Ovis aries: one gene and its partners. The main gene of each other region encodes a partner of the protein of the gene in region 3 in a complex. Links are inferred from orthologs where the notes say so. Each region holds a gene or a part of one and is shown on either strand. Other genes may lie near its edges.

Evidence for each region.
Region 1: CUL7 (region 3) and OBSL1 share a complex: the UniProt entries of both Homo sapiens proteins name them as parts of the 3M complex. The link is inferred for Ovis aries from reciprocal best matches to the Homo sapiens genes CUL7 and OBSL1.
Region 2: CUL7 (region 3) and CCDC8 share a complex: the UniProt entries of both Homo sapiens proteins name them as parts of the 3M complex. The link is inferred for Ovis aries from reciprocal best matches to the Homo sapiens genes CUL7 and CCDC8.

Annotation. Positions count from the first base shown.
Region 1 is NC_056055.1:221,487,693-221,498,173, reverse strand, and holds the start of OBSL1 (obscurin-like protein 1), read left to right. Parts: upstream 1-4,236; 5' UTR 4,237-4,514; coding exon 4,515-5,520; intron 5,521-7,054; coding exon 7,055-7,324; intron 7,325-7,417; coding exon 7,418-7,669; intron 7,670-7,834; coding exon 7,835-8,137; intron 8,138-8,316; coding exon 8,317-8,613; intron 8,614-10,481. UniProt on the Homo sapiens protein: Core component of the 3M complex, a complex required to regulate microtubule dynamics and genome integrity. It is unclear how the 3M complex regulates microtubules, it could act by controlling the level of a microtubule stabilizer.
Region 2 is NC_056067.1:53,465,060-53,475,342, reverse strand, and holds CCDC8 (coiled-coil domain-containing protein 8), read right to left. Parts: upstream 5,304-10,283; 5' UTR 4,617-5,303; coding exon 2,940-4,616; 3' UTR 2,336-2,939; downstream 1-2,335. UniProt on the Homo sapiens protein: Core component of the 3M complex, a complex required to regulate microtubule dynamics and genome integrity. It is unclear how the 3M complex regulates microtubules, it could act by controlling the level of a microtubule stabilizer.
Region 3 is NC_056073.1:16,658,579-16,667,943, reverse strand, and holds the end of CUL7 (cullin-7), read left to right. Parts: intron 1-2; coding exon 3-109; intron 110-218; coding exon 219-401; intron 402-1,570; coding exon 1,571-1,731; intron 1,732-1,893; coding exon 1,894-2,110; intron 2,111-2,221; coding exon 2,222-2,519; intron 2,520-3,214; coding exon 3,215-3,360; intron 3,361-3,482; coding exon 3,483-3,609; intron 3,610-3,697; coding exon 3,698-3,903; intron 3,904-4,153; coding exon 4,154-4,477; 3' UTR 4,478-5,436; downstream 5,437-9,365. Other genes in the region: KLHDC3 (kelch domain-containing protein 3), read right to left, coding at 7,852-7,988, 8,431-8,548, 8,633-8,707, 8,989-9,093, 9,171-9,237. UniProt on the Homo sapiens protein: Core component of the 3M and Cul7-RING(FBXW8) complexes, which mediate the ubiquitination and subsequent proteasomal degradation of target proteins. Core component of the 3M complex, a complex required to regulate microtubule dynamics and genome integrity.

The DNA of each region.
Region 1 (10,481 bases), on a different chromosome or scaffold from region 3:
TCTCAGTGGGGCCCCCAAAGCCGTGATCTCTGGCCATTCTGTAAATCACCTGACCTTGAGCTAGGTGTCCATCAGCTAGGGCAGAGTAGGGGTGGTTATGACACTTGGGCGTAGGCACTATGATGTGTGCATGGCAGACCACCCAGTCGACACATCAGGGCCAACTTGTACAAGGGCCAGTTCTGGCTCCTGAGCTGACAGCACCTATTTGTCCTCCCCAAGCATGGTAACTTCCCACCAGATACACATCCAATTACCACTGGCAAATCCCCATCTCCTATATCAAGTGAGGCTAAGTGACGTGAGACCCCACAATCCCATGCTCCCAGGGCCTAGACCTCACCCTGACAAAAACACTTATCAGAGAAGCTTGAGAAGACACGCCAAGTCATATGCACTATGTCATTTATTGTCACGTTCCTCATGAAACAGGGGCAGGAATGGGGAGAGGGGAGCCTCTGGGCAGAGAGGAGGAAGGGAGCGGGCAGCCTGCCCTTCCTCCAGGCTGGTGACCATGGGGGCTCGGGCATCAGTGGGATTCCCTTAGATGCAAGCACAGTGCTGGGTGAGAAGGTTGGGCACCATCTCATACTTAAAAGAGTAACCTCCATCCGAGGTGGTGCGGACACGTAGGGGCCTCATGGTCCCCGGGAGGGCAGCGCAACAGGCCTGGGCCCCTGGCACCAGAGAGAGGGGCTGGAAAGGGGTAGGGGGCACCCCGGGGACCGGCAGGGGCAGGTCCTGTAGGGTGGGCAGCCCACACCCCCCGTGACAGTAGTAGAAGATGAAACTAGGAGGGTGCACGATCCACCGGTCCCAGCCCAGCTCCTGGAAAGAGATATTGAGGGCGGCTCTGTGGCAGTCGGCATGGGCGGCGGGCTCCTCTGGAGGCCTCTGCAGCAGGCGCAGCGCAGCAGGAGACCAAGGCCAGGGCAGCGGGGGCGTGGAGCGCCGGGCCCTCTCCCCTCCACTGGGCGGCTTGGCCCGTGTGTGGGCCACCAGGAAGGGGGTGGCTTCGGGCCGGGCGGAGCAGGAACAGAGAGGACAACGCAGCAGGAGCGCCAGGACAGGATGGGTCAGCAGAGGGAAGGCGGAGGTGGCCAGGTGCAGGACAGCCCAGCGAGGGGGTGCCTGGCCCAGCGACATGGGCACAGGCGTGGGACCCCTGGATGTCAGTACCAGCAGGCCGAGCAGGGGCTCAGAGCTATTGGTGGCAGTGGTCTCCTGTCTGTCCAGTCCAGTATGGAACCACAGCTGGGCCGAAGTCACCTGGCGGCTGCGTGTGTGCTGGGATGGCCGGAACACATACGTGAAGAGGCCCTCCTCAGCCTCTCCAGCATCTGGCTCATCCCCACAGCTGGCACCTGCAGAGGGCAGAGGGAAGGGAAAGGGCAGCCCCCACCGGCAAAACCTGGAACCCCTCTCCCTCAGCAGGAGGGATCTGGCTGCCACTCATGAGCCTGCTAGGTGCCACACGAAATTCTCTGCCAGAGGCCAGGACCCTCCCCAATCTTCAGGGAACTGACAGAGGCCCCCCATGTGTTCAGTTCCATTCAGTTCAGTCATTCAGTCGCTCATTTGTGTCCGACTGTTTACGACCCCATGGACTGCAGCACACCAGGCCTCCCTGTCCATCACCAACTTCTGGAGTTTACTCAAACTCATGTCCATTGGATCAGTGATGCCATCCAACCATCTCATTCTCTGTCATCCCCTTCTCCTCCCGCCTTCAGTCTTTCCCAGCATCAGGGTCTTTTCAAATGAGTCAGCTCTTCACATCAGGTAGCCAAAGTATTGGAGTTTCAGCTTCAGCATCAGTCCTTCCAATGAATATTCAGGACTGATTTCCTTTAGGAAAATCCCCATGTGTTACTTCAGTATTAAAAGACTTCAAAAATGCCAGCCACTGCCAACTTCTCTCTGAAGTGGTTTTACCAATTAATATTCCCATCAGTGATGTGTAAGATGCCGTGCACTCTCTCCCTTCACCATTGCTTAGAATTGTTTGTTTCTATTTAAATTTTTATCTGATACTATGAAATGGTACCTTGAACACTGTGTACACAGGCATTTGTTATATTACTCATGTCAGAAATACTGCATGAGAAATTCTTTAATTCACTTTAAAAAGGTTAACACCAAGAAGGAAGAGGAAGGGGGTGGGGAGGAGGAGAAAGGATTCAGCTCAGAATCAAGGACAGTGCTTTCGAAGAAAATGCAGTTGGCATCCTTACCCTGACAAGTATATAAACTGCATCAAACAGTCACGAACAGCACAAATTAAAGAACTAGCAATTGGGGCTGTACTGTTATGTGGAACATCTCATTATAAACCTCACAACAACTGATCCATTTGGCAGATGAGAAGTGTTAGTCGCTCAGTCATGTCTGACTCTTTGTGACCCCATCTACCAGGCTCTTCTGTCCATGGGATTCTCCAGGCAAGAATACTGGAGTGGATTGCTATTCCCTTCTGCAGGGAATCTTCCCAACCCAAGGATCAAACCTGGGTCTCCCACACTGCAGACAAATGTTTAACCATCTGAGCCACCAGGGCAAACTGAACGTTAGAAAGATGAAAAGACATTAAACTAAGTGTCCAGGCTGGGATTCTGCCTGATCCTAAAGCCACACTCACTGTGCTGCCTGGGGCCTGAAGCACAGGGAGCCAGAGCATCCTCTCTGAGAGAAAAGTAAGCCAGGTTACAAAAAGGTCCAGCCAGAGGAGGGCTTTACTCACTGAGTGAGTGCAACTGACTGGGGAGATGAGAATTCAAGAGAAGGTAGGTTAGTTTCCCAACTAACTGTTCTCCCGCATCCCTGATATCTTCTCAAGTCTCAGCTTTCTGAGGCTAAAGAAACAATGTTTGGAGCAGGGAGCAAAAAAGCAAAGGGAGGAGGAAAGATGGCAGGAAGGGGTACCCCAGATATCTCTGTCCCTAAACACCGCTGGCCTCCCAGATGACTATCTCACAAATGGCTCCTATGAACCGGGCACTCTGGGATACACCATCTCACTCAATCCTGAAAGGTAGGCATTATGGCGCTTTTCACAGATGAGGAGACAAGAGGCTCAGGAAGGTTTAGTAACTGGTCCACTGTTGCAAAGTCAGTTGAGTGTCAGGTCTGGGATTCAACCCCAGACCTGCCTAGCTCCCGAATCCAGGCTACACCACACTCTTTGTCAGAGTCAAGGCGCCAATACCCCACCCTCATTACCTGCAGCTGGAAAAAGGATGGCCTGGGAGACATCTTGGTCCTCGGGCTCAGAGCCCTTGCGCATGAAGCCCCCCACGGCATGCCTTCGAGGCAGACGCCTGACTCCAGGATCTCCACCTTCCCCAGTCACCGGCGGGGGCCCCAAGGCATCCAGGAACAGGGCCCTCACCTTGGCCAGGACAAGTTCCCGGTCCAGCTCCGGCCCATGACAGCCACGCCCGCCCTGAGGGGCCAGCAGGAAGAGGAGCAGCTGAAGCCACATAGCTCACCTGGCCCTGCCCACCGGGAACCCACACCCTGCCCTGTGCCCCTTCTGCCAGGGTCTGCCCAGGGCCTCCCCACTCCACCCTCCCCATCCTACCACCGCCCTCTTCTACCCTTCTCACCCCAGTCTTCCCCAGCCCTTCCCACGCCCCGCAGTCGAGTTGCCCCTGCCCATGGCATTGAGACCTCCTATCTCTGACGCAGATGTCTGTGGCCCTGAGCCTTATCTCCCACTCCCGCCAGGAATGTGGGGGAGGGGCTGGAGAGGGCTTTCACCCCAAGTGACCTAAACCACACATACAACCCCTCGCCCTCCACACACACAGAATCAGAGAGTCACAACCCAGCACCCAGCACAGAGGTGACACCAGATGGGACAGGAGCCTGTTAACTGGGGGTCTGCCAGGTCTAAAAAGCGTTATTTGTCAGGGAGACAGAGCAAGCCAGCCCCTCGCAGCTTCTGGGGCCCTTTTCAACCCAGCAGCTGCTGGGCCAGTCCTCTCGGGGGAAGCGCCGGGGCGGGGGCTAGAACTGGGGTTAAGGCGGGGGGCAGGGGTCCCGCCTGCTCTAAACTTAGACTGGAGGAGCCGGTCTGGGCTCTTGTCCTCCAGCTGTGTCATCAGAGAATATTTTTGGGATTGGCAGCTGCAGGCTTCTCTGTCACTCAGGCCCGATTTTGGCGGACTGCTGGGGACCTGGCGGCTGGAGGTGGGAGGGAGGAGGGGAAAGAGGCCCTGGCTGTGGGAGGGGGCTGGGAAGGCCGGCTCTCGGGAGCAGGAAGCCAGGCCGCAGGCAGGGGAGGCTGCGGGGCCCCTCGCTGGAGAGGCAAACAGGAAGGACTCCCCCCCTGAGCCCCGGGAATCGCCGCCGCTGCCGCCGCCTCAGAGCCGCAGCTCCCGGCGGAGGGTAAGGAGGCGAGCCGGGAGCGGGCGGCCAGCAGAGAGCCCCGCGGGTCCCGGCGCCTAGTCCCCGGCCGCGCCCCGCCTCCCGGGCTCCCGCCGCCGCTCCCGACCTGCCCTTGCGCCGCCGCGATGAAGGCGGGCTCGGGGGATCAGGGGAGCCCCCCGTGCTTCCTGCGCTTCCCGCGGCCCGTGCGGGTGGTAAGTGGCGCGGAGGCCGAGCTCAAGTGCGTGGTGCTGGGCGAGCCGCCGCCCATTGTCGTGTGGGAGAAGGGCGGGCAGCAGCTGGCGGCCTCCGATCGCCTGAGCTTCCCGGTGGACGGCGCCGAGCACTGCCTGCTGCTGAGCGGCGCGCTGCCCACCGACGCTGGGGTCTACGTGTGCCGCGCCCGCAACTCGGCCGGAGAGGCCTACGCGGCGGCCGCCGTCACCGTGCTGGAGCCGCCGGCCCCCGAGCCTGAGCCCCAGCTCGCCGAGCGCCCGCTGCCGCCGCCCGGAGCCGGGGAGGGCGCCCCGGTGTTCCTGACGGGGCCCCGGTCCCAGTGGGTGCTGCGGGGGGCGGAGGTGGTGCTGGAGTGCCAGGTGGGGGGCCTCCCCGCGCCCACGCTCTACTGGGAGAAGGATGGGATGGCGCTGGACGAAGTGTGGGACAGCAGCCACTTCTCCCTCGAGCCGGGCCGCGCGGGCGCGGGCGCGAGCCTGGCGCTTCGCATCCTGGCGGCTCGGCTGCCCGACTCGGGCGTCTACGTGTGCCACGCCCGCAACGCGCACGGCCACGCGCGGGCCGGGGCGCTGCTGCAAGTGCAGCAGCCCCCCGAGAGCCCGCCCGAGGACCCCGACGAGGCCCCCACGCCCGTGGTGGAGCCGCTCAAGTGCGCGCCCAAGACCTTCTGGGTGAACGAGGGCAAGCACGCAAAGTTCCGCTGCTACGTGATGGGCAAGCCGGAGCCTGAGATCGAATGGCACTGGGAGGGCCGCCCGCTGCTCCCCGATCGCCGCCGCCTCATGTACCGCGACCGAGACGGCGGCTTTGTGCTCAAGGTGCTGTACTGCCAGGCCAAGGACCGCGGGCTCTACGTGTGCGCCGCGCGCAACTCGGCGGGCCAGACGCTCAGTGCCGTGCAGTTGCACGTGAAAGGTACCACGGCGCCCCCGGGCGGCCAGGGCCTGGGGAGGGGCCTCCAGCGCCCTCCCTGACCCGCCTTACTCCAGCCCCACTCAGTGCCTAGAAGACAGCGAGGAGTAAGGGAGGCTGAATATTAAAATGCCATTTCCCACCTCCCTCCCTCCCATCCCCCAGGGATTCGGGTTTAGTACGTCTCCAAGGTACCTGCTCCAGGAACTTCTTAGCAAGCTCTCCAAATGATTCTGAGGCAGATGGCAGAAAACCACTCTTCCATAAAGGGCTTTAGGGAAGGATTGAATGATTGACCCAGAGGGACCTACAACTCTTGTAGTTCAATGTTTCTCAGCCTCTTTGTTATTTCACCACCCATTCCCCAATGGAAACCCCATCGGGGCCCCAGTGTATTATATAAAAGGATCATTTTATGGGTGTAAATTTCTAAATCCAAATTTGTAACATATATTTATAAAGTCAGTCAATGAGAACAAGGGAGCTGTCTTATTAAGCACACACATTTTAACCATTCATAACTGGGTCTAGCTTTTGAGCCCCCCATGGGGAAATCGTAGCTTCAGGTGTCACCCTGACAAACTCCCGATTCACACCAAAGAGAGAAAACTTGAGGGCAAAAAAATGCCCCCCAATTTTTGACTATTCTGTCATTAGACTGCTTTCCAGGTTTGCAAGAAGAAGAAGGTGAAGGAGAGGAAATTTATATTTCAAAGTTGAGCCCCCAGCGGTGTTTAATAAATGCTTACATTGCTCATAACTAGAAAAGTCAGGGGTGAAAAACAGGCCAAATTCACATTGGAAGTTAAAGCTTCCCATAATAGGAGTTCATTGCAACTCACGGCATACCTTCACTAGTTATTACCCAACTCTTTCCCTCAGAGAAAAATAGTTGGCAAATCTCCCGAGTCCATCCTGGCACGCAGTCAAGCATGTGGCACCTGTACCACGGGTGGTGGCCTCTTGGGTACAGTTTGATGTGCACAAACCGGCCAGGCAGAGCTGAACTCTCACCCCCTGAGGACAGAAAAGCCCAGGATGAAGGCCAAGATTCCCAGAGCCAAGTGATAAGACAGACATGTTCCCCTAGCAGTCCAAGTGACCCCACTGGCCGTTTCTGTTATCATGCTTTCTTTTTGTAAAATGCAGTTTTAAAAGTGGTTGAAGTACTTTCAAAATGAAGTTCAACTCAAACCCTTGCAGAATTGTGTGTGGTGCCCATGAGGGTCCCCGCCAAACATTTTGAAAATCCCTGATAATGGCCCAAGCCCCTCCATCTCTTTCTCTGCTTTACAAATAAACTGCGGCCCAGCATCATGAAAATGGCCTCGGTCAAGGTGATGTGTTAGGCTCAACGAGAATTCGGGTCATCTGACCTCCCTTCTGAGGGTTTCTCTGAGTATACAACGACACTAGCTCTGGGAGAAGAGCAAATGGCCCGAGCTACCCTGGGTTTAGGCAGTGGGTGACAGAGGAGGGTCTTTCTCCCGGTCGGGGCCCTCTCCAGAGCCTTCTCTGGTCTCGCCCTTCTCCACAGAGCCCCGCCTCCGCTTCTCCAGGCCGCTGCAGGACGTGGAGGGCCGGGAGCATGGAATTGCGGTGCTGGAGTGTAAAGTGCCCAACTCGCGCATTCCCACCGCCTGGTTCCGCGAGGACCAGCGGCTGCTGCCCTGCCGCAAGTACGAGCAGATCGAGGAGGGCACGGTCCGCCGCCTCATCATCCACAGGCTGAAGGCGGACGACGACGGCGTCTACCTGTGCGAGATGCGCGGCCGTGTGCGCACCGTGGCCAACGTGACGGTCAAAGGTCGGCTGGCCAGTGGCGGGGGCTGGGGGAGACCGAGACAGAGGCCCGCCGGTGCCCAGTCCACGGGCTCATAATCTCCCACCCGTGTCTCAGGGCCCATCCTGAAGCGGCTGCCTCGGAAGCTCGACGTTTTTGAGGGCGAAAACGCGGTGCTGCTGGTGGAGACTCGCGAGGCTGGGGTGGAGGGACGCTGGAGTCGCGACGGAGAGGACCTGCCGGCCACCTGCCAGAGCAGCTCGGGCCACATGCACGCCCTGGTCCTTCCAGGGGTCACCCGAGAAGATGCCGGGGAGGTCACCTTCAGTCTGGGCAACTCCCGGACCACCACTCTGCTTAGAGTCAAATGTGAGGGCCCCAAAGCCTCTAGGCAGCCTCCTCAAGGGCTGGACAGGACGGTCAGGACAGAAGGGTGACCAGATGACAGAGTCTGGGTTGGCAAAGTTGACTTTAGGTTGCAGGGCTGTGGGAGGCTGGAACAGGGCTCAGATGCAAACCCTGCCTCTGTCTCAGGCATCAAGCACAGTCCCCCGGGACCCCCAGTGTTGGCCGAAATGTTCAAGGGCCACAGGAACACGGTCCTGCTCACCTGGAAGCCTCCGGACCCCACCCCCGAGACCGCCTTCATCTACCGGCTGGAGCGGCAGGAGGTGGGCTCGGAAGACTGGGTACAGTGCTTCAGCATTGAGAAAGCCGGGGCCGTGGAGGTGCCCGGGGACTGCGTGCCTACCGAAGGCGACTACCGCTTCCGAGTCTGCACTGTCAGCGAACACGGCCGCAGCCCCCACGTGGTGTTCCACGGGTCTGCTCACCTCGGTGAGTCAGTCCTGTCAGCCCAGGCTATCAGTGGCTATACCTGAAGTCGTGCCCTCCCCATCACCCTTCCTCCCTTCCCCTGGGCTCCCCGCTCTCTCTTGCTATATGCCATCTAGCTGCCAGTCTCTGCCCTCTGCCAGCCGCCTGGTTCTGATGGCCATGCTCTGTCCCCCTCTCAGTGCCCACAGCTCGCCTGGTGGCTGGTCTGGAGGAGGTACAGGTGTATGATGGGGAAGACGCCGTCTTCTCCCTGGATCTCTCCACCGTCATCCAGGGCACCTGGTTCCTTAACGGGGAGGAGCTCAAGAGTAACGAGCCAGAGGGCCAGGTGGGGCCCGGGCCCCTGCGGTACCGGGTGGAACAGCGTGGCCTGCAGCACAGGCTCATCCTGCAGGCCGTCCGGCATCAGGACAGCGGGGCCCTGATCGGCTTCAGCTGCCCAGGTGTGCAGGACTCAGCCGCGCTCACCATCCAAGGTTAGTACTGGTGGGGACCACGGTGGGCAGATAGGGTCAAGACGTAGAAATCCCATTAGCAAAATGAGGCACACGCTGTTCATGCTTCTCACATCTGAGCCAGGAGTCAGGAGCATCCTAGGTGAGCTCAGATAGAGCACTCAGGGATCCAGAAGTCCAATTTCAACCCGTGCTTAGTCGCTCAGTCATGTCCGACTCTGCAACCCTGCCAGGCTTCTCTGTCCATGGGATTCTCCAGGCAAGAATACTGGAGTGGGCTGCCATGCTTTCCTCCAGGAGATCTTCCCAACCCAGGGATCAAACCCAGGTCTCCTGCATTGCAGGCGGCTTCTTTACCGTCTGAGCCACCAGAGAAGCCCATATAGGGGACTCCTTGTTATTTTCACCAGCATCATATCCAAATTCTCTAGGGGTACTTTGTGGTTTGCAGAATTCTGTCATGTTTGTCATCTTAAAGACACAGACCGTGGCCCCTAGTCCCTGACCACTTCCTGCCCTACTGTGTGATGGCTAACACTATCTGAGTCACTTCCTGTGTGCCAGGCACAATCCTAATTGCTTTACATATATTAATTAGCACAGACCTCTCAACAGCCCTAAATCTTCCCTAGTGGCTCAGATGGTAAAGCGTCTGCCTGCAATGAGGGAGACCCGGGTTCAATCCCTGGGTCGGGAAGATCTCCTGGAGAAGGAAATGGCAACCCACTCCAGTATTCTTGCCTGGAAAATCCCATGGACAAAGGAGCCTGGTGGACTACAGCCCATGGGGTCGCAAAGAGTTGGACATGACTGAGCGACTTCACTTTCACTTCTTTCACTTTCTCAACAGCTCTACAGGATGTGTTCTTTTGTCATCCCATTTTACAGATGGGGAAACAGATACAGGTTCAGTGACTTGCCCGAAGTCACAAAACTGATAAGTGCTAGTGCTGGATTATGAATGCAGGTGGTCTGGCTGCAGTATCGCACTCTGCCGCTCTGAGGAAAGAGGAGAGGAGAGGGAATGAGGCCTCCCTGAGGATGACAGTTGTTGGCAGGAGTCTGAAAGTTCAGGGAACGCACTGGCATTTGCTATTGCACCATTGCTGGAATTTGTAAGGCCAGTCACAGAATTCCTCAGTGTCCACGCACAGGGCCTGGAGGCAGTTAGCCAGCGGCAGCCCAGGAGGAGGACAAAGTAAGAAATAACCACAAAGAGAGCAGCATTTCTAAAATACAACCCAGGTTCAGACGGTAAAGAATCTATCTGCAATGCAGGAGACCTGGGTTCAATCCCTAGGTTGGGAAGAACCCCTGGAGAAAGAAATGGCAACCCACTCCTTCTTGCCTGGAGAATTCCATGGACAGATTAGCCTGGCAAGCTACAGTCCATGGGGGTCTCAAAGAGTCAGACACACAACTGAGCAACTAATACTTTCACTTTCTTTCACTAACATTGGGCTTCCCTGGTGATTTAGGCTGTAAAGAATCTGCCCCCAATGCTGGAGACCTGGATTCCATCAGGTCAGGAAGAGTCAGGAAGCTCCCTTGGAGAAGGGGATGGCAACCCACTCCAGCATTCTTTCCTGGAGAAGTCCATGGGGTTGCAAAGAATCAGACAAAGCTGAGTGACTAACACTTTCACCAACGTCAGAGTCATGCTGAGGGCTAGTTTATAATGCAGATTCTTTGACCCTTGCATGCTGGGGCGGGGGGAGGGGTAAAGCCTAGGAATCTGCATTTTCGGTAGGCTCTCTGGGAATTCTTATGCACACTAAAACCACTGGTCTTGAGAATTGGTGTGTAAGCGCAAAACGAATTTTTAAAACCAACAAATGCATCACGACAGTCGTCTGGCCTGATGTGCCCAGCCCCCTCCCCCAGCACAT
Region 2 (10,283 bases), on a different chromosome or scaffold from region 3:
CTGCAGCTGCCGGTGGGGCCCCAGCTCGGCGCTCCCTCCGCTCTCCCCGCCGTGGTGGCAGCTCTGGCCGAACCATGCATTCCCGGCTCTTCTCTGCGCGCAGCCCACCGCTCGCTCTCCAGTCTTTTCAGTCCCTCCTTTGCAGGTGGCGCGAGCGATCCTGACGCAAGAAGAATGTAACTGTAATGAGCGCCCGTGGAGGCAGCAGCCCCAGGTGACGGGGCGGTCTCAGGGCCCACCCAGCGGGCTTGGCTTTGGGTCTCCTGGCTCAGCACAGGGGCGAGTGTGTCCGCGGACACCGGGCACCAGGGGAGGCCCGCAGTGCCGGGCGTTCTTTCTTGTTCTCGGTGGAGCCCTGATCCCTTCCAGACTCATGCTTCTGGCCATCGTCCGTGAGCCTCTGTTCCTCATTCCAATCTGATGGGGGCTGGCCTGTGTGATGGAGGTTCCAGCCGGGCAAGAGGAGTGTCAGGATGCAGCTGAGCCAGGAAGCTAAACCTCCTGCTCGGGGTGGGGAGGAGAGGATTCCAGGAAGAGAAGCCTGAGAGGCAGGGGGGGTGTGCTCCTGGGGGAGGGGAGAAGAGGTGGGGGAGGGGAAGGGAGGGGTGGAGACCAGCCACAGGGGCAGGGGAGGAGGGGAAGGAGAGGGAAAGTCCCTGCCCATCTGAAGTGCAGCTGGTACAAACGCACCAGCTTCTCAGGGCCAAGGCCTCCTGCTGGTGTCTACAGGCTGAATCTGACACTCGACCTGCAGTGTTTTCAAACAATGGGACTTCTTAGCAACACTTTCAATTTGGGACAATTCACATACGGTGTGTTGGCTTTTCTCTGCAGTACCAAGCAGTGCACCTCCCCCAGGATGTCCCACCAACTCTCCCCTACCCACCTCCCGTGGGGTGACAGTCCCCTGGGCGCTGGAGGGAAGGGGTGAGGCGGGCGGTTGCCTGGTGGAAGCGCACTCAGGAGGCAGAACATCCCGTGCAAAAGCCCCAAGCCACTGTGGAGATTGGGGTTTATTCATGTGTAACTCTTGAAGCCTCGGGTGCCAGGATTCCCTGCTGGGCATAGAGGGACCATGTCTCCAAATAGGCCACCTGCCTTCACAGGGCTGCCCGTCTAATTACATTCCACGTGACTGGAGTTGTGAACTCTGCCGGGGTCCCTGGGGTCGGAGCGTGCAGACATGCCGGGAGCGTGTCCCCTTCCCGGTCCTGGGATCCCTAGGAGGAAGCTGTCCCGCCCCTCGGTCTGCTCAAACGGAGAGAGTGGCATCCTGAGATTCTCGGGAGTGTCATCTGGTCCTGAAAGGGCCCGGAGGGAGAAGCCAGACACCGATGAGCTTTTCCCACTGTTAAGTTCTCTAGGGTCCGGAGCCCACGAGGCCCCGCCTTCCTCATTGCAGGCTCCGCCCCACACAGCACGCCCCGCCCCGCTGAGAACTAGGCCTGCGGAGGAAGCGTCCACCTAGGCAAGCGCTGTCGTGGCCTGTTCATCCACTAGGAGGCGCCCTAAGATCAAGAGCTTAAATCATGACTACCATTACCTTTCTTGGGGTCCACCGCTTTGAAGTTCCGCCTGTTTTCTAAATGCCAGGCAGCCCAAAACTGACTTTCCAGTAAAGCTGCAAAGTAAGGTCCTGAGACCAACTGCATCCGCATCTCCTGGGAACTTCTTAGCAATGCATATTCTCAGGCCCACCCCAGACCTACAGATCTACTGAATGACGTCTAAGAAGTCCAGGCCAGGACTGCAGCCTGTCGGGAGGACCTAGCTGGGCTTTAGCCTTACCTCTAAGAATTTCCCTTTATCCGGCCTCTATCGAGGCCGGGGCATGGTTATTTGCTGTCTGTTTTCCCTCGCGTTAGGGGGACACAGACAATACAGAGAGAAGTCCCCCAGCTCCCAGGGTGCGTAGCAACCCGATTATAAGCTCACTGTAGCAACTTGATACATTGCTCACTACCGCACCACAATCCAGTTCTTTGGCTTGTTCCTAGTGCACTGATTTTTTCCCAATGTATCCAGCGACCAAGCTGCCCCAGATTCTTGGGCCTCGTAGCCTGCTCTAGCAACTCACAGCTCTGATGTGAAGGGCCCCTGAACCCACACGTTGGACATGTTCCCCAAATTATTCTTCTGTATGTGGTAACCAAGAAGGGATGAAGCATGTAAACTGCAGGACCTGGACCCACCAAGTCTGCAGAACCCAGGTGGGAGTGGCAGGAAAAGTGACTTTAACACGGGTAAGCATCACGGACGGTGGGAGTAAAGGGGACACAGGCTGTGACAAAATCACCCCGGAGCATTTTTCAGTTGCCAAGCCAGAGCCAAGAAATAAGCTGGTAAATATTTTTATTTGCATGTTGACCTGCGCCCTCTTTTCCAGTTCCAGGAGGCAGGGAGTGAAAGTGTATGGGCAAAAGGGGGAAGAAGAAGGGGAAGAGGAAGGGATTTCTCCTTTGCCTCGCTCCCTTCTCCAGGATGAGCACCTAGAGTTGCATTTGAGGAAGTTAAAATCATAGGGGATGCAACTCCATTGTATGGGTTTCTTTCATTACATTCCTTGGGTTACTATAAAGAGTCTGTATTAAAAAAAAAAAAATCAATGCAAAAAAAAAAGTCAATGCATAGGGAATTCCCCGGCAGTCCAGTGGTTAGGACTCAGCACTTTCACCACTGGGGAGACCTGGGTTCAATCCCTGGTCAGGAAACTAAGATCCCACAAGCCATGTGGGAAAAAAGAGAAAGAAAGATAGAAAAAAAAAAATCAATGCATAGAAAATACAGTTTTAATAAGAAAGGGACATTCGGTAGAGACGTGAGAGGCACTGCCAGGCCCTCACTCTACCTCCATTTTCAAGTGTGGAGAGTCACACATGCCGTGAGGGACCCACACTGCGGCAGGTGCTGAGGTCCTCCGTGGCCCCCCTGCCCTCACCTCACAGCTGGTCCTCTTGCTCTCCACGCTCTGCCTCCGCTCTGGCCTCGGCCCGCAGGACCCTGAGGCTCCTGGCCTCGCCTGCCCTGGGCACTCTCTTGGGTAGCGTGGGCAACCGGGGAGTGTGCCAGAAGGCTCTCCGGCGCTTCCGAAACCATGAAAAGCGTCCGGGGGTCTGGAACCTCACTGTCTTGACTGGTTTCCGGGTCTGAGCTCCTGCAGTGGCCCCTGTGGCCCTTCCGGCAGCTGAGGAGTCAGCCTCCGGAACAGCCGGGGTCTCTGCCCTCTGATTACAGGCAGCTTCTGCCCTCTGGACCGATCCAGCTTCTTCCCCATCAGGTACAGCCTCTGCTCCCTGGACAACCGGGGCTTCTGCCCTCGGATCCTCTGCAGCTTCTGCCCTCGGGTCAGCCGGGGCCTCTGCCCCCTGGACAGGTATGGCCTCTGCCCCCTGGACAGCCAGGGCATCTGCTCTCTGATTATCCACAGCCTCTGCCTCCTGGACAGCTATGGGCCCTGCTCTCTGATTAGCTATAGCCTCCCCCCTCTGATTAGCTATAGCCTCCCCCCTCTGATTAGCTATAGCCTCCCCCCTCTGATTACCTATAGCCTCCACCCTCTGATTATCTACAGCCTCCCCCCTCTGATTAGCTATAGCCTCCCCCCTCTGATTAGCTACAGCCTCCCCCCTCTGATTACCTATAGCCTCCACCCTCTGATTATCTACAGCCTCCCCCCTCTGATTATCTGTGGCCTCCCCCCTCTGATTATTTGCAGCCTCCACCCTCTGCTCATTTGCAGCCTCTCCCCCCTGAGCTCTGGAAGCTGTTTCCTCTCTCCTGCGACGTCTGAAGGAAGCCCAGTTGATCTGGGGCCTCCATCGCCTTGGGGGGGTCTCAGCCACCCGCCCATCTCGTGCATTTCCCAGGTTACACCCCAGGCTGGCGCTGCCTGGCACCGATGCACTGTCCCTCTCCACCCCGGTAGAGGCCTGCCTGGCCTCGCCCACCCCGGGGCTGGACTTCGGTGTCCAGCCCTTCACCCTCCGCTTCAGCTTCCCCCAGGACACCTGGCTGACACACTCCCGCCACCTGTCCGCTTTGGACTGCTGGGGCCCTGGGCTGTCGTCAAACATGGGTACGGGCAGGTTCACCCGGCGGCGGGGAGGAGGCACGCTGGGTTTCTTCTCCCCTCGCCGGAGGAAGGCCTCCACCAGTTCCTCATCATCCTCGCTCTCCAGGTCGCTCCCGAGGAACTTGCTGCCCAGGTAACTGACGGGCATTTTGCGCACCTTCCTGCCACGGCCGGCGCCTTTGCGGCCCTTGTCAGCCTTGTTCCTGGAGGTCTCGAAATCGCTGAACTCGCTGTCACTGGCGTTACTGCTGTCATAAGTGCCCACGACCAGCCGGGGGGGTGGGGTCACCATCTGCTGGACTCTCCTCCTCACTCGGGGCTCCTTAGACTTTCTAGGGGGCTGGGGTGGATGCGGGGTGCTCTTCTCGATGATGCGGGCCACGTCCTCCAGGGTGCGGCCCTCTTCTTCCAGAAACTGGATCAGCCGTTCCCGAAATTCTGCCTCCTTGGTGGCCGGCTTGGAAATGACCCTCCAGACGCCCCCGGCCAGCCGGACCTCGCGGGGGATGAGCAGATAGTCCACATCTTCCCCAATCTGCAGCATGCCCACGGTGGAGTCCTCCTCCCGGCGGAACACCTTGCCGATTTTCTTAAAGGTCCCCACGGGCTTCAAAGCTTCGACGAGGACGTCCAGATCCACGTCTTTGCAGACGTCCGGGACGCTCCAAAGGATGAGGCAGTCGGGGGACGGGAGGAAGCCCCAGGGGAACCAGCCCCCCACATGGCTTTTCTCGAGCGTCTTTAAGATCTCCAGGGTGAAATCTGGGCTGGGGGCAATGAGCCCAAACTGCTCGTAGCCTCGAGTCTTGGGCGGGGAGAGGGGGGTAGGTTGCTCTCCCCGCAGCGCTGCCCTGAGAGTCTCACTTCCCACTTTCCTCTGCAACAAGTCCGGTCTCGATCCGCTCCCCGCGAAGGATTAGTGGGAATCAATTTCCAGGATGCTTACGTGAGCCGGGGTGAGGTCAGTTCTGAGGCTCCCAGCCCACTGCAAGCTGCAGACGCGGTGTCCCGGCTCCAACTGCGGGCGCACGGGCTGTCCGGTGGTTCTTCCTGTGCCACAGATGCGCCTGGAACTTGAGAGAGGACTTCGCAGACAAAGGCGGCTCAGCCTTGGCTATTCAATATGGCCGAGGCGCTCGGAGGCCGCGGCGCAGCTCCCCAGGAGGGTCTCCCACTCCTAGGCAGGCTTCCACCTCAGGCCAGGCTGACCTTGCCGCGCCTCCCGCCTCCCGGCCGAGGAGCGCGCGCGCGGGCAGGAAGTTCCTCCTCGCCGGCCCCCAGGATGGGGCCCACCTTCCCCCTTCTCATCTTACACTCCGGGACTCGGGAAGACTGACAGGGGGGCTGTCCACTCCCTTCGGGACGCCCTCATTCCCCTCCCCCACAGGGGTGTGGCCGCGCCCCGGGCCTCTCTGAGGCCCCGTCTTCCTAGCCGATCGCCCCGCGCCGAAGCGAAGCCCACGTCAGCAGCTTTCCCCGGGAAAGGCGGCCGTTCCCAAACCTGCCATCCCAAACGTGCGGGTTCCAGCCAAGCCCGGAAGGTGGGCGTGCAAATGGGGCAGTCCCTCTGAAACCCGTTGGCACGGTGTATTACTATTTTAAAATCACGTGACTTTTGGTATCCGCACTTCCTACCTATAGACCCAAACAGGTGGGTAGAGAACTTGGTACCAGCTCCAGGATGGAGCTTGGCACACAGTAGGTGCTCTAGAATACTTCTGAGTGAATGAATGAATGGTTGGATGGGATCACAGGCTTCAGTGGACAAGAGACTGAGCAAACTCCCGGAGATAGTGAAGGACACGGAAGCCTGGCTGTGCTGCAGTCCATGGGGTTGCAAAGAGTTGGACACAACTTAGCCACCAAACAACAGCAACCTGATCATCAGTAGAAACTCGGTTCTTTCAGTAAAATATTAGGCAGCTATGAAAAAAAAAGTAACTGAGGATAGTCACCTTTTATGGAGCACTGCTGCTGCTGCTGCTGCTGCTGCTAAGTCGCTTCAGTCGTGTCCGACTGTGCTACCCCATAGACGGCAGCCCACCAGGACTAGCTATGTATTAATACTAGACATCACTCTATTAATACAAATTAACTCATGAAATCTTCACCAAAGCATTATGAGACAGGTAATACGATGCTCATTCCCATTTTACAGCTGAGGGGAAAAAATCACTTGCTCAAGGTCACATGAGCAAGAAGAATGGGAACCTGGATTTGAATCTCAAATAATCTGACGTGTGTGTGTGTGTGGGGGGGGGGGCATGTTCACATGCATAGGCCAAATGGCATAGACAGGAGCATGTTCTCTTTGGCTGTATGACTGAGTGAGTGAAAGTCACTCAGTCGTGTCTGACTCTAGTCCCTGGAATTCTCCAGGCCAGAATACTGGAGTGGGTAGCCATTCCCTTATGCAGGGGATCTTCCAAACCAGGGATTGAACCCAGGTGTCCCATATTGCAGGAGGATTTTCTACCAGCTTAGCCACAAAGGAAGCCCAAGAATATGGGAGTGGGTAGCCTACCCCTTCTTCTGAGAATCTTCCCGACCCAGGAATTGAATCAGAGTCTCCTGCCTTGCAGGCGGATTCTTTACCAATTGAGCTATCAGGGAAGCTTGGGACGTATTAATGTTGCCAACAGTGGCTGTGTATGGGGAGGGGGACGGGGGACCCCCCAGAAGTGGCAGGCATATGTACTTTTCACTCTATATTCTGTTAGATGGTGTAGATTTTTTTTTAGCAATCGAAAATGTTCATTAAAATAAGCTAAATTAGGACTTCCCTGGTGGCTCACTGGTTAAGACTCTGTGCTTCCAATGGCAGGGGCACAAGTTCAATCCTTGGTTGGGGAAGTTCCACGTACCCTGCAGGTCAGCCAAAATAAATAGTTACACTTTTGAGGATTTCAAGATTTTTTTTTTTAGTTAAATTAAATAGAAGGTCCTCAGATGTGGCCACAGACCTGTGGGGTCAGAATCCCTGGGACTTGGGGCCCAGGATTTGCAAAGCTTCCCAGGTAACTTTGGAGGCCCACAGGTGCCTCCTCACAGTTCATTCAACAAACAGGCTCATTGCCACCTCAGGGCCTTTGCACAAGCTGTTCCCCAAGTCCAAAGAGTTGTGTTTCCCCCTCCTCTTGGCAATCTCCCTCTGCTCAAAGGTCATCATTTTATTGAAGTCATACTGCACTGCCCTCCCCATCAAACTATTGGGTGACCTCTACCCTCTCCAGGGCCTTCTAGCCCAAGAATCCTTAACCCGTTCTGTGCCATGGACCCTTTTCAAGATACTGTTTCAGTACGTAGGATTGCATCCATAAGACTGCAAAGGAGAATCGTTATAACGAAATAGAATTGTTAAAGAAAAATCCCAGCAACAACAAAATCTGTAAACTAACCACGTTAACATAAGATAAAAATAAACACGTGTAATTTTGTTTAAGTCACCACGTGTGATTTTATTTCACTCTTGAAGGAAACACGCAGATGTTTAGGGAAAGTGGGAAGGGAGCGAAAAGAATGGGAAGGGAAAGAGGGAAAGAAGGAAGAAAAATGCTTGAGGGCGGGGGAATGGGGGGACGGTTAAGGTCTCAGCGAGGCCTTTGCACAGTTATTGGCTCATTCCGGTTGTTTTTGTTTTTGCAGAGTCGGGTCGTTAGGCTTCGCTGGGTTTTCTCCTCCTCCTCCTTACAAACTCCATCCCAGTCGCCGCCGGGCTCAGCCCCCGCCGGGCCTCCCTTTTGCACAATTTCTCGCCTAGCCGCCCAGCGGTCTCCATGGCAACGAGGTGCGCTCCTCCACTCGGGTCGGCTCTAAGGAGGTGGGCGGAGGGTGGGGCGGGGCAGCCCCACTTCTCAGCTTATTACTTCCCTAAACTTTATTCCCCAAATCGGCTTCCCAGAGAAGCTGTTTTCTGGAAGCTGGAAGCTAAAAATCTCTAGGACACCTGTGGTTGAGAAAAGCTGGTTTAAGAATCTAACTCTGAGAAGCCAAGCCTTCCACGTGAGAATGACCTCGCAGATTAGGCGTCGGATTTTGTAACCGGTAAAAATCGTGTGTGTGTGGTGGGGGAAGGGGTGGAGGATTATCCTAGAAATAAAACCCTCAAATGTTCAACATTCTTACAAAAATTGCCAACCCCTTAGCCGTCCCGCTGCTGGGTGTTTTAGATTGCCTTCATCTCTGGCAGGCGAGATTCTTCAGCCGCCCCAGAAAAAAATGATAATTATAGCTCCCACTTGTATTCTTGTTTAAAAGAAATGAAAAAAATCCAAAGAGGATGGAGGAAGAAAACAAAACGTGGTTCAGATTTCTCTACCCAGCTGTACTTGGTTGCCACTTTAAAAAAACGATAATAAAAGTGACACATTTAAGAAAACGCTGAAGTTACAGAAAGGTGTAAAATGAAGAATGGCTCCCTCTCCCAGCCCCAAGCCTGCAGTCTCTCTCCACAAAGTAACCACAGTTAAAGCCTCTGTACTTTTCCAGAAAACAAAACAAAACAAAACTTCTTGCATGGGTAGAAGTTATTTACCCCATAAGGATTTTTAATATCCTGAATTATTTTCATCGCATCACTTACTTCCTCCTGGTATCTTCTTGTTCATTTATTTATTGTCTCACCCTATGAAAATACTGGGGATTCCCTGGTAACTCAGCTGGTAAAGAATCGACCTGCAATGCAGGAGACCCCAGTTTGATTCCTCAGTCGGGAAGATCCGCTGGAGAAGGGATAGGCTACCTACTCCAATTTTCTTGGGCCTCCCTGGTGACTCACATGGTAAAGAATCCATGTGCAAAGCAGGAGACCCAGGTTTGTTCCCTGGGTTGGGAAGATCCCCTGGAGAAGAAAATGGCTACCCACTCCAGTATTCTGAGAGAATTCTCAGTATTCTGGAGAATTCCATGGACTGTATGGACTGTGGGGGTCACAAAGAGTCGGACACGACTGAGTGGCTTTCACTTTCACATGAGAATACTAGCCCCATGAGAGCAGGGATATTTGTCTGCTTTGTTCAGTGCTGAATTCACAGAATCTAGAACAGTGCTGATGGGAGCTCAAAATATTTGTTGAATGAATGAGTGAGGGGATTGGGCTGGACCTAGTGCTATAAAACTTGCTTTTTTCACTTAATAGCATGTCCTTAATAGCATGTCTTGAGCTCTTTCCATATCAAGCAGATCAATCTCAATTTTTCTCAACAGCTTTCCCCTTTGTGTAAGATAATTCATTTTTTTCGAGCACCTATTTTGCCCCTGACCCTGTGTATTTTCTCTTTGAATCCTGCAACCCCTCCAGAACAGGTATTATTCCCATTTTCCAGAGGAGGAAAACTGAGGCTAAAGGCAGTCACACAGCCAAGAAGCGGCAGAGCTTTGAATTACTCAGGTTTCTGAGGTTCTAGCCCTGTACTATTTTATTATTATTATTTGCCACACTGGGTCTTCATTGCAGCATGCAGGCTTTCCTCTCTTGTTGTGGCCCCCAGGCTTCTTGGTGCGTGGGCTCTCCAGTTGTGGAGGGCAGGCTTAGTTGCCTGGCAGCATGTGGGATCTTAGTTCCCTGACCAGGGATCCAACCAGCGTCACCTGCATTGCAAGGTGGATTCTTAACCACTACACCACCAGGCAAGTCCCCTGCCCTACACTCTTAAGCTCCTTTATTTGTCCTGTTGCCTGTGGAGGGTTGGGGGTGGGGAGCAAGGTTGACAGGCAGTCCCTGAAGACTTCTCTCCCAGGTGACATATGTAACCTTGGCACAGTCACTCAGTTCAGTTCAGTCGCTCAGTCGTGTCTGACTCTTTGCGACCCCATGGACTGCAGCATGCCAGGCTTCCCTGTCCATCACTAACTCCCAGAGCTTGCTCAGACTCATGTCTATTGAGTCAGTGATGCCATTCAGCCATCTCATCCTCTGTCATCCCCTTCTCTTCCTGCCTTCAATCTTTCCCAGCATCAGGGTCTTTTCCAATGAGTCAGTTCTTTGCATCAGGTGGCCAAAGTATTGTAGTAGTCTCAGCTTCAGCATCAGTCCTTCCAATGAATAGTCAGGACTGATTTCCTTTAGGATGGACTGGTTTGATCTCCTTGCTGTCCAAGGGACTCTTGCCACAGTCCCCATGGGAACACAGTCCAAGGGACTCTTGGCACCGTCACTAGATTTGTCCTAAACGTACATAAATCAGATCCCTGTCTAGAATGAATAGGATAT
Region 3 (9,365 bases):
AGAGGGCAGAAACAGAAGCCATGACTGGAGCTCCCTGGCCACCCGGGGGCTTCCCAGCAGCATCATGAGAAACCTGACCCGCTGCTGGCGGGCGGTGGTGGAGCAGCAGGTGGGCCGGCCAGCCGGGCGGGTGGGCCGGCCAGCCGGGCGGGTGGGCGGGCGGGGCTGTGCCCCCGGCGTGCTGGGTTGCCTTCACGCTGCCAACTCCCACCCTCCAGGTGCACAGCTTTCTGACCTCACGCTGGCGGGATGATGACTTTGTGCCCCGCTACTGCGAACACTTCAGTAATCTGCAGAAGGCGAGCTCCGAGCTGTTTGGGCCACGGGCAGCCTTTTTGCTGGCGCTGCAGAATGGCTGTGCTGGTGCCCTGCTGAAGCTGCCTTTCCTCAGAGCTGCCCACGTAAGCCTCCTGTGTCCCCTGCCCTGGGACCTCTCTCCTCAAACTCTCTCTTCCCCTCCTCAGAGTTGCCCACCCCCTACATTCCCACTCAGCAAGAAGCATGTATTGCTATAGACCCATGTTATCAAAAATCTGGAAAAAAAAAAAAAGGGAATTCCCTGGTGGCCCAGTGGTTAGGACCCTGTACTTTCACTGCTGTGGGCCCAAATTCAATCCCTGGGCAAGGAACTAAGATCTCACACACACACACACACACAAAGATAAAAGTAAAAAATGACCTGCTTTGTGCCATTCTAATATATCTTTGCATACCTTCTTCTACTTGCATGCTTGATTTCACTTAGTTTTACCCACAAGTAGCTAAATGCTTTATCCTGTTTTTTTTGACCCTTACATTAAAAGTCATTTTCATGTTGCTATTTGTCCTCAAATTTTTGCATAGAGCCCATCAAATGGATGTACTGTAATTTCCTCCACCGTTCCTATTATTCCAAGTGCTTAACCCACTCCAGTATTACTGCCTGCCGAATCCCACGGACAGGGGGAACCTAGTGGGCTACAGTCCATGGGGTCACAAAGACTTGGGACATGACTGACCAACTAACACTTTTAACATGTGTCAGGCACTGTGATAAGAGCTGAAGATAGATGAAGACCCTTCCCTCCAAGTTCACAAATCAGAAAATTTATGTGACTCACTTTATCTCAGTGGCCTTGTGTGCTTGTCTCCTTGTGTTAAATTATCATTGTTGGATTTTAGACATGCTAAATGTGAAAATCATGTTTATCATTGTTAGTATTTTTTTTAAATGTTATTTTACTGAATTTATTTGGGGGTGTCATGTCTTAGTTGTGGCACGCGGGACAAACCCGGGCCCCCAGCATCAGTAGCATAGAGTCTTAACCATTGGACCATCAGGGAAGTCCCAGTATTGTTAATGTACACAGTTGTTAATGATTTTAGGAATTTTATAAATTGTTGTTTATAATTGTTGACCAGTTGATAAAGCTGCTGGCCATTCATATTTCCTTCCTCAGACGCTCCTCCTCCCTGTGCTCCCACTCACCAGCTTCATTCTCTCCTTCAGTTTCTGACTACGATCATACCACCCTGAACACACCCGATCTCACCTCCTTCACAGTTTTCCTGTGCTCTCCCCACTGCCCAGGTGAGCGAGCAGTTTGCCCGACACATCGACCAGCGGATCCAGGGCAGCCGGATCGGTGGGGCCCGGGGAATGGAGATGCTGGCCCAACTGCAACGATGCCTGGAAACCGTCCTCATCTTCTCTGGTCTGGAGATAGCCACCACTTTCGAGCATTACTACCAGTGAGTGTGGACCGAGGAAGTGGGAGGTGGGAGGAGGCAGGATGATGGGCAAGGCAAGCCCTCGGGGTCTGGGGGCTGGGGTCTGGGTAGGCTGGAGTCTTGGAGTGGGAGGCCCTGCCAGGCAGCCTCACCAAGACTCAGCCTGGGCTGTGCATGCTGCAGGCACTACATGGCGGACCGTCTCCTGGGCGTGGGCTCGAGTTGGCTGGAGGGGGCTGTGCTGGAGCAGATCGGCCCCTGCTTCCCCAGTCGCCTCCCCCAGGAGATCTTGCGGAGCCTGAGCACTTCAGAGGAGCTGCAACGCCAGTTCCATGTATACCAGCTCCAGCGGCTTGATCAGGAACTCCTGAAGCTGGAGGACACAGAGAAGAAGATACAGGTGGAAGCGGGGGAGGGAACTAAACCAGCAAGAAGAGAGGAAGGCAGAGAGAGGCTCGGGACAGACCTGAGGAGCCGGCTGGCTTAGGGGCACCCTGTGTTCCATCTTCAGGTGAGCCGTGACGCCAGCGCCAGTGGCAGGGGCCATGAGAGAGGGACCGGGGAGGAAGCTGAGCTGGAAGCTGGGGCTGTGGCGGCAGCAGCAGCAGCCGGCGTGGCAGGGGAGGAGGAGGAGGAGGACGAGAGCGAGGATCTCTACTATGAAGGGGCAATGCCAGAAGTGTCTGTGCTCGTCCTGTCTCCACGCTGCTGGCCCACCGCCTCCATCTGCCACACGCTCAACCCCAGAACCTGCCTGCCTGCCTACCTGAGGGGCACCTTGAACCGATACTCCAACTTCTACAACAAGCGTGAGCAGCTGGGCTGAGGGAACTGGGGACCTGGGAAGAGGATAGGATGCTGGGAAAGAACCTGGGCTTGGCGGTGGCCCCTGGGCCTGGCAGCCTGTAGATTTGAGAAGAAAAGACTGGAACTTAGGTTTGGAGTAGGGGTGGGGTGAAACGGCACCAGATCCCGGGACTGTTGCTGTTTCTATTCTTCAAATAATGACCTGGGACTCCCATTATGGTGGGGAGAATGGAGGCAGAAAGCACCTGAGGTCCACAGGTGGTGGTGGGTGTCTGGCTCCTGGTCAGTCATCATAACCTCAGCTCCCCACTGGAGGCTGATCCTAGGCAGTGAAAAGGAGGTGGGTGATACTGAGACCTTGCCCTCAGGGAGCTTCTCTACCAGCTTCAAGACAGTGTTTCCAGTTTGAAGAGAGCCCCAGTCCTTTCTCACTTCGTGACTTTGTCTCCCTTAAAAAAATGGAGAACCCCTCGGAGGCACTGATCACGGGCTGCCTGGCATGGGGTGGGCTCCCAGATACCTGAGGCTGACCCAGGAGGCAGACTCAAGGAAGGCCAAGCTCTGGAAGCTCAGACCAAGAGCCAGTGTCCAGACACACTGGACCCCAGGCTCTGCAGAGGTTAGTGAGGACAAAACTCCAGCAATGGCACGTCCTCGCCAGCCCCCCGACTCCTGCCACCTCCCTGACCCTCCTCAGGTCAGAGCTACCCTGCCCTGGAGCAGGCCCCGCAAAGGCGACTGCAGTGGACATGGCTGGGCCGGGCGGAGCTGCAGTTCGGGGACCAGACACTGCACGTGTCCACCGTGCAGATGTGGCTGCTGCTGCATTTCAACGAGCTGAAGGTGGCCCAGCTCCCCCGCGCCCCCCTGTTCTCGCAACCTGTCCATCCTCTTTCTTCTCTCCACCCTCTCTCTTCCCTGCCCCCCACCCTGGGAGGCCCTGATGCTTCCCTCTTCTTCCCAAGGCGGTCTCTGTGGAGAGTCTGCTGGCGCACTCGGGGCTCCCTCCAGATGTGCTGAATCAGGCAATTGGGCCTCTGACTTCGTCAAGGGGCCCCCTGGACCTTGATGAGACAAAGGACACCCCAGCAGGTCTGTACTTAGGGCACTGGGGCCTGTGTCCTCAGCCGGGGCCAGTGTCCTCGGGGGACCCCTGCCAAGTGACCAGCACTTATTTCAGGGTTGCTCAAGATTCGAGACGGCAGCGAGGAACCCAGGCCTCGGAGGGGCAACGTGTGGCTCATCCCAGCTCAGACATACCTGAAAGCTGAGGATGAAGAGGGCCGGAACTTGGAGAAGAGACGGAACCTTCTCAACTGCCTCATCGTCCGAATCCTCAAAGCCCATGGGGATGAGGGGCTGCACATTGACCAGCTTGTCTGCCTGGTAGGTGGCGGTGGGTGGTGGGTGAGGGGGCTTTGCCAGTTGGAGGGCAGTCTCCAGGAGGTGGGGGCCTTGTGGGGTGGGGGGCAGTCTCCAGGAGGAGGTGGATCCCCATGCGAAGTCTTGGGCTCACTGTGGACCCTGTAGGTGAGTGAGAAGTGAGGTTGGGCCTCGCTGTCCTTGGACTGGGGGCTAGAGTTGGGGTAAGCTGGGTGTCCCTGACCTCTCTTTCCCCTTCGGCCCACCACACCAGGTGCTGGAGGCTTGGCAGAAGGGCCCATGTCCTCCCAGGGGCCTGGTCAGCAGCCTTGGCAGGGGGTCCACCTGCGGCAGTGCTGACGTTCTCTCCTGCATCCTGCACCTGCTGGGCAAGGGCACGGTGAGACGCCAGGATGACCGGCCCCAGAGGCTGTCTTATGCGGTTCCCGTGACTGTCATGGAGCCTCACACTGAGTCCCTGAACCCAGGCTCCTTGGGCCCCAACCCACCCCTCACCTTCCACACCCTGCAGATCCGCTCCCGGGGCGTGCCCTACGCCTCCTGCACAAGCACCCAGAGCTTCTCTACCTTCCGGTAGCCCTGGAGACAGGGTCAGGGTTAGGTAGGGCCGGGGCTTTCCACAGAATAAAATGCAGGAGTTTGATTACTTGGCCTGTGTGGTAACTGCCAGGGATCTGCCAAGGGTGGGGACTTTCCTGGCTGAAAGGAGACAGGAGCCCTCAGCTCCGAGGCTGAATCACGCCATGCCAGGGTCCTTTGGGTGAGGATGGCAGGCTGTGAGTGACTGAGCACCCTCCTCTCAGCTGGGGGAATTAAGTGGACTCCAGGGGTGGGCCTTCTTGGAGGGTATGTGGTTAGAAGAGCTTTCACCTGGCAGGCTGGAGAGTCAAGCCCATCTTGCCACAAGCTGGATGGCTTGCAACTTCAGCAGATCATCAAGCAGGGATCTATTTTCCTTGTTTGTGGAATTGACTGGACACTGCCTTCTGGAGCTAAGGCTGACAGGGAAGGTGAGATAAAGGACCCTTGTGGCCACTGCAGGCCCCCAGGACCATGTTCCACCTGGAAGCTCTAGGATCTGGGTTAGAAGGAACTGCAGCTCCCACGGCTCTTCCTTGCCCCTGTGCACTCCCGCACACCAGTAGCCTTCCCTGCCCATGGGACTGTCTCTGCAGGGCAAACATTCCCAGGCTGTGACTTTTGCTTCCCTGATCTTTAGAACCCTAGAGCTGGTTTGCACACCGAGGACCACATAATGATCCCGTTTATAGTCATGTCCCCCAGTCGGCCAGTCCAGAGACAGAATGTGGTTTAGTGGTTGCCTATAGTTGGGGGGATTGGGAAAAACTGAGGAGTAACTGCTACAAGGTATGGCATTTCTTTTGGGGGTGTTGAAAATGTTAAAAAATTGTGATGGTCAATTCTGTCAATGTATTAAAAAATCACTGAACTGTTAACTTTAAATGGGTAAAGTATATGCTACGTGAATTGTATCTCAACAAAGCTGTTAATAAAAACCAAAACCAACCAAACCTACCCAAACTGGAGCTCAGAGCTTTCCTACATCTCCTCCGCCTCCTCCTTAAGGGGGAAAGTAGCAGTCTGAAAGTTTGGGGGCCAATACAGCCTTGTGGTGGACATTTATCAGTTTTCAACCAGTCTTCACCTGAACCCGCTTCTCATGCCTGGAAACACTCTACCACCAACCTAGGAAGAAGGTAGAGCTCACCTCCCACCATGTGAAACACCAGACACTTGCTTTCCCAGCATCCCCCTTGCAGGCAGGTGACTAGAGGCCTCAACTGGGAACATGTCGGTCTAGAGCAGAGGGAAGTGGAGTGAACCTTTGGCGGTGATCCTGACATCTTCACAGTGACTCTGGCTCTGAACTAGGACCTGGAGTGCTTCTCACTGCTTTGACTTTCTCACTCACTCCTTTTTGGAGCTTCTCTCCAGCCTTCTTAGTGTTTCTGTGAGCCAAGTAGTTCAGTAGTCTTTTTCTGCTTTTATCAGCCAGAATCACTGTTTTGGTATTAAACTAGGACTGATTCACGTGACAATTGGGACTCTACAGTGCTCCCTCACTCTCTCTGGGCCAGGCCAACCATCCTGGTAGCTACAGCCTTCAACTACCAACCACTGGAGAAGCACGTTTTATGCATTTCTTCCCTCAGAACTACATCATCTCCCCCCAACCAGGAAGCATCAAGCAATGAGTCTTAGTCTCTAACTCCACCTCGTCCTTGCAGGCTGCGTTTTGCTATTTTTTTTTGCCTGCCCAGCAGCACAGGGGATCCTAGGTTCCACTCCAGGGATGGAACTCATGCCCCCGGAATTGGAGTCGCTGTGTCCCTACACACTGGACCATCCAAAAGTTCCTACAGCTGCTGCTTAGACGTCAATCCTTCCCATGGCCTATAGATCCTATGATTTATCTAGGTTCCCAGCCTCCACTGTCTGTGATTAACTGATCTTACTGATTCTTAGGATTTACAGATTATCAACTATAGAAAACCACCCTCTCTTCTTCTGGAACTCTTGATTTGTGTCACACCTCCTCACTCTATCCTTCGACTTCTTTGATGTCTTTTCCCTAGTTTCCATTTCTCTGTCCCTGGGCTCCATCTGTGTAGCTTCTTCCCATCTACTTCCATTTCATCTTCCTTTCTAGGTGTGCCTAACCTGCTGCTAAACCATGAAGTTTCTAATGTCAGTGTATTTTTCATTAAACAAAAAACTTTAATCAAACCAATTTTGTCCTGATACATTTTTTCATCAGTCATAGCTCTTCTTTAAACATAAATAAGACATTTTATATTTTTGTATTTTACATTTCCAACATCTCAGACTTTGCTGGTCTGATTCTGTTGCCTGTTGTTCCTAATGACTCTTGCTTTTTTTTTTTTTTTTTCTTTTGTGCTTGTTTTCACTATAAGCTCATATGCCTTGAAATTTTATCTGAAGGAATTCCTTGAAGCCTGGGTTTAAAGTACAATCCTCAAGAGAGAAATGCATTTTGGGAATTCCCTGGTGATCCAGGGGCTAAGACTCCACTCTCCCAAGTTCAACCTGACCAGGAAACTAGATTCTGCATATTGCAACTAAGAATCTGCACGCTGAAACAAAGACCCTGTGAACCGCAACTAAGACCCAGCACAACCAAAATAAGTAGATATTTTTTAAAAAGAGAGGAATGCATTTGCTTCTGCCAGGTATACCTGGAGGTACTCCCAACCAAAGACCACTTTAAACTGAACTGTAGCGTGAAGATACTCCAGTCCACAGGCAGTATGAATTCTCCACCCAAACAGTAATGAGAACCAGCTGCGCTTACCTATCACCAGGGACACTTTCTGCCCCCACCTCCTACCTCCCCTTGCATCTAAAACCAAACCTAAGAAGATGAGTTGTGGGACTGGGTCCCTCTTTGAATGATGGTGTCATCTGTTGGCCTGAAGGAGGAAGGGCCTCTGATCTGACCTCCCACTTTGTAGGAGGTTTAGGTTTACTGTCTACCCACATATGGCCCCTGAAACAGTAGTTCTAGGCCACCTACAAAAGCAGCAGGATAAAAAGATGAGACACGGGAGTGTTTATGAACTGGTTCCTGCATGAAGTCACAGTCCTGGGAGCCACTCAGACTCTGGCCTTCAGCCTCAAGGTTCTTTTCCTTCTGTATCAGAATCATTAAGGCAAGGATGGGAGGAGGACACGAGGACAATGACCCAGATCCAAGCAGACAAAGTGCAGCATGGCAGAAGGCTCAGCTGCTCTTCCTTTTCAGCTCTTAGGCAGTCCAAGAGGCTTCGAGTCATCTCTGGGCCAGGCGAGTTCCAAGGCAGCTGTGACCTTACCGTTGAATGGGAAAGAACAAGAACAGGCCAAGCCCAAAGGTGTCCCCACAGATGCACTTCTCACTGGGGCAGCAGCAGAGCTGAGCACGGATGCTTACTACTCTTTGCTCAAAGGGAGATGTCGTCTGTCCTTGCCTGCATTTCGGCGCCTCTTTCGACTCAAGAAGCTCTCTAGCTTCTTGCTTCGTTTCAGCTCCTTAAACTTCTCAGCCAGGACCAACTGGCGCTGCTCAGCTAGAGGGCAAGGAGAAAGAAAATCAGTAAGCAAAGGATGAAGTCTCCCTGCCTCCCCTTGCCCCAGGTCAGTAACTCTTAACCACTACGCAGGGATATGTGACTCATCAGGGGTTCACTGGTGTGTAAAAGCAGACTTCCACAACTCCACTCTTTCTCAATTCAACCAACCATGAGCTCCTTCTCTGTGCCCAACCCAACATATGAGGGGGCATGACAAAGATAAGTGACACTCCCTGCCCACAGTCTCATTAGGGATATGAGAATGGTTACAAACGACGACTTCCTATTACTACTGTTTCTACTTTCCTCTAAGTTACCATGGGATCCAGCCTTCATGCCTCCCTTAGGCAGCTCCAGGAACCCCTAACACAGCATCCATCACTATGGCTACCCAGTCTCTGCCCCTGTGTCTCGTGGGCCGTAGCTGTGCCCCGCTCACATTTCTTCAGGAAGTATGGCCGATGACCCTGCTGGGCCTGAGCCCGCCGCTCCTGCTTCAGGGCCAGGCGCAGCTCCTGCTGCCGCTTCCGTTCCTTCTGGGCCATTTCTTGCTGCTCCTGTGGAGCGGAGATGAGAGGAGTGAGACAGGTGAACGGCAGGGACTGTGAATCACCTCCCGCCCCATACTCCGACCCTCTCACCATTCGCTGAAGCAGGTGCTGTAGTTTCTCATGCTCCTCCCCTGAACGGCGCTTCTTCAGCTGCTTTTTCACCAGCTCCATATTGGAAAATGAGTATGATGGTTAACGTTCTGTAAATGTTACCTGAAACTTTGTGCCAAGCATCATTCTAAGAGGTTCACATACGTTAACTCACAGTAACACTATGAAATGGAACTATTAGCTTTTTGTGATATGGAAACTGAACTGAAAAGAGGTTAAGTATTTTGCCAATGATCACACAACTAGCAATCTGATTCGCCCTGCTCCCCTCTGCTTCTCTAACCTGTGCTCTAGTCCCTCCTGGAATCCCCACAAACCAGCCGCATGCTACTCACCTCTTTCTCTCTGGCTCGGATGTCATCTAGGAATTGATATGTTTTATCGAACACCTCAGGATTATACTCCCCTGACAGATCATCAAAGCGGGGGTCCCGGGCTACCTTTGGAGAGAACAGAGAATATAAGAGAACCGTTCTGTCTCCTTTCCCTGAGAAAATGCTCACTGCCTCCGCCTCACCTTCTTACTGATGGGGACAACCTGACGCAAAAATGGCACCCGGACCTTGGCTGACATTTCCAGAGGCCTATGGAAAAAGTGAAGGACAGGTCAAGGGAACGCCAGTCTCATTAAAGGCCTCCCACCTGCCACCCAAGAAAGCAGACACCTACTCAAGTAGGGGTCTTTCCCTCCAACTCCCGGGAAAGGCCTTGC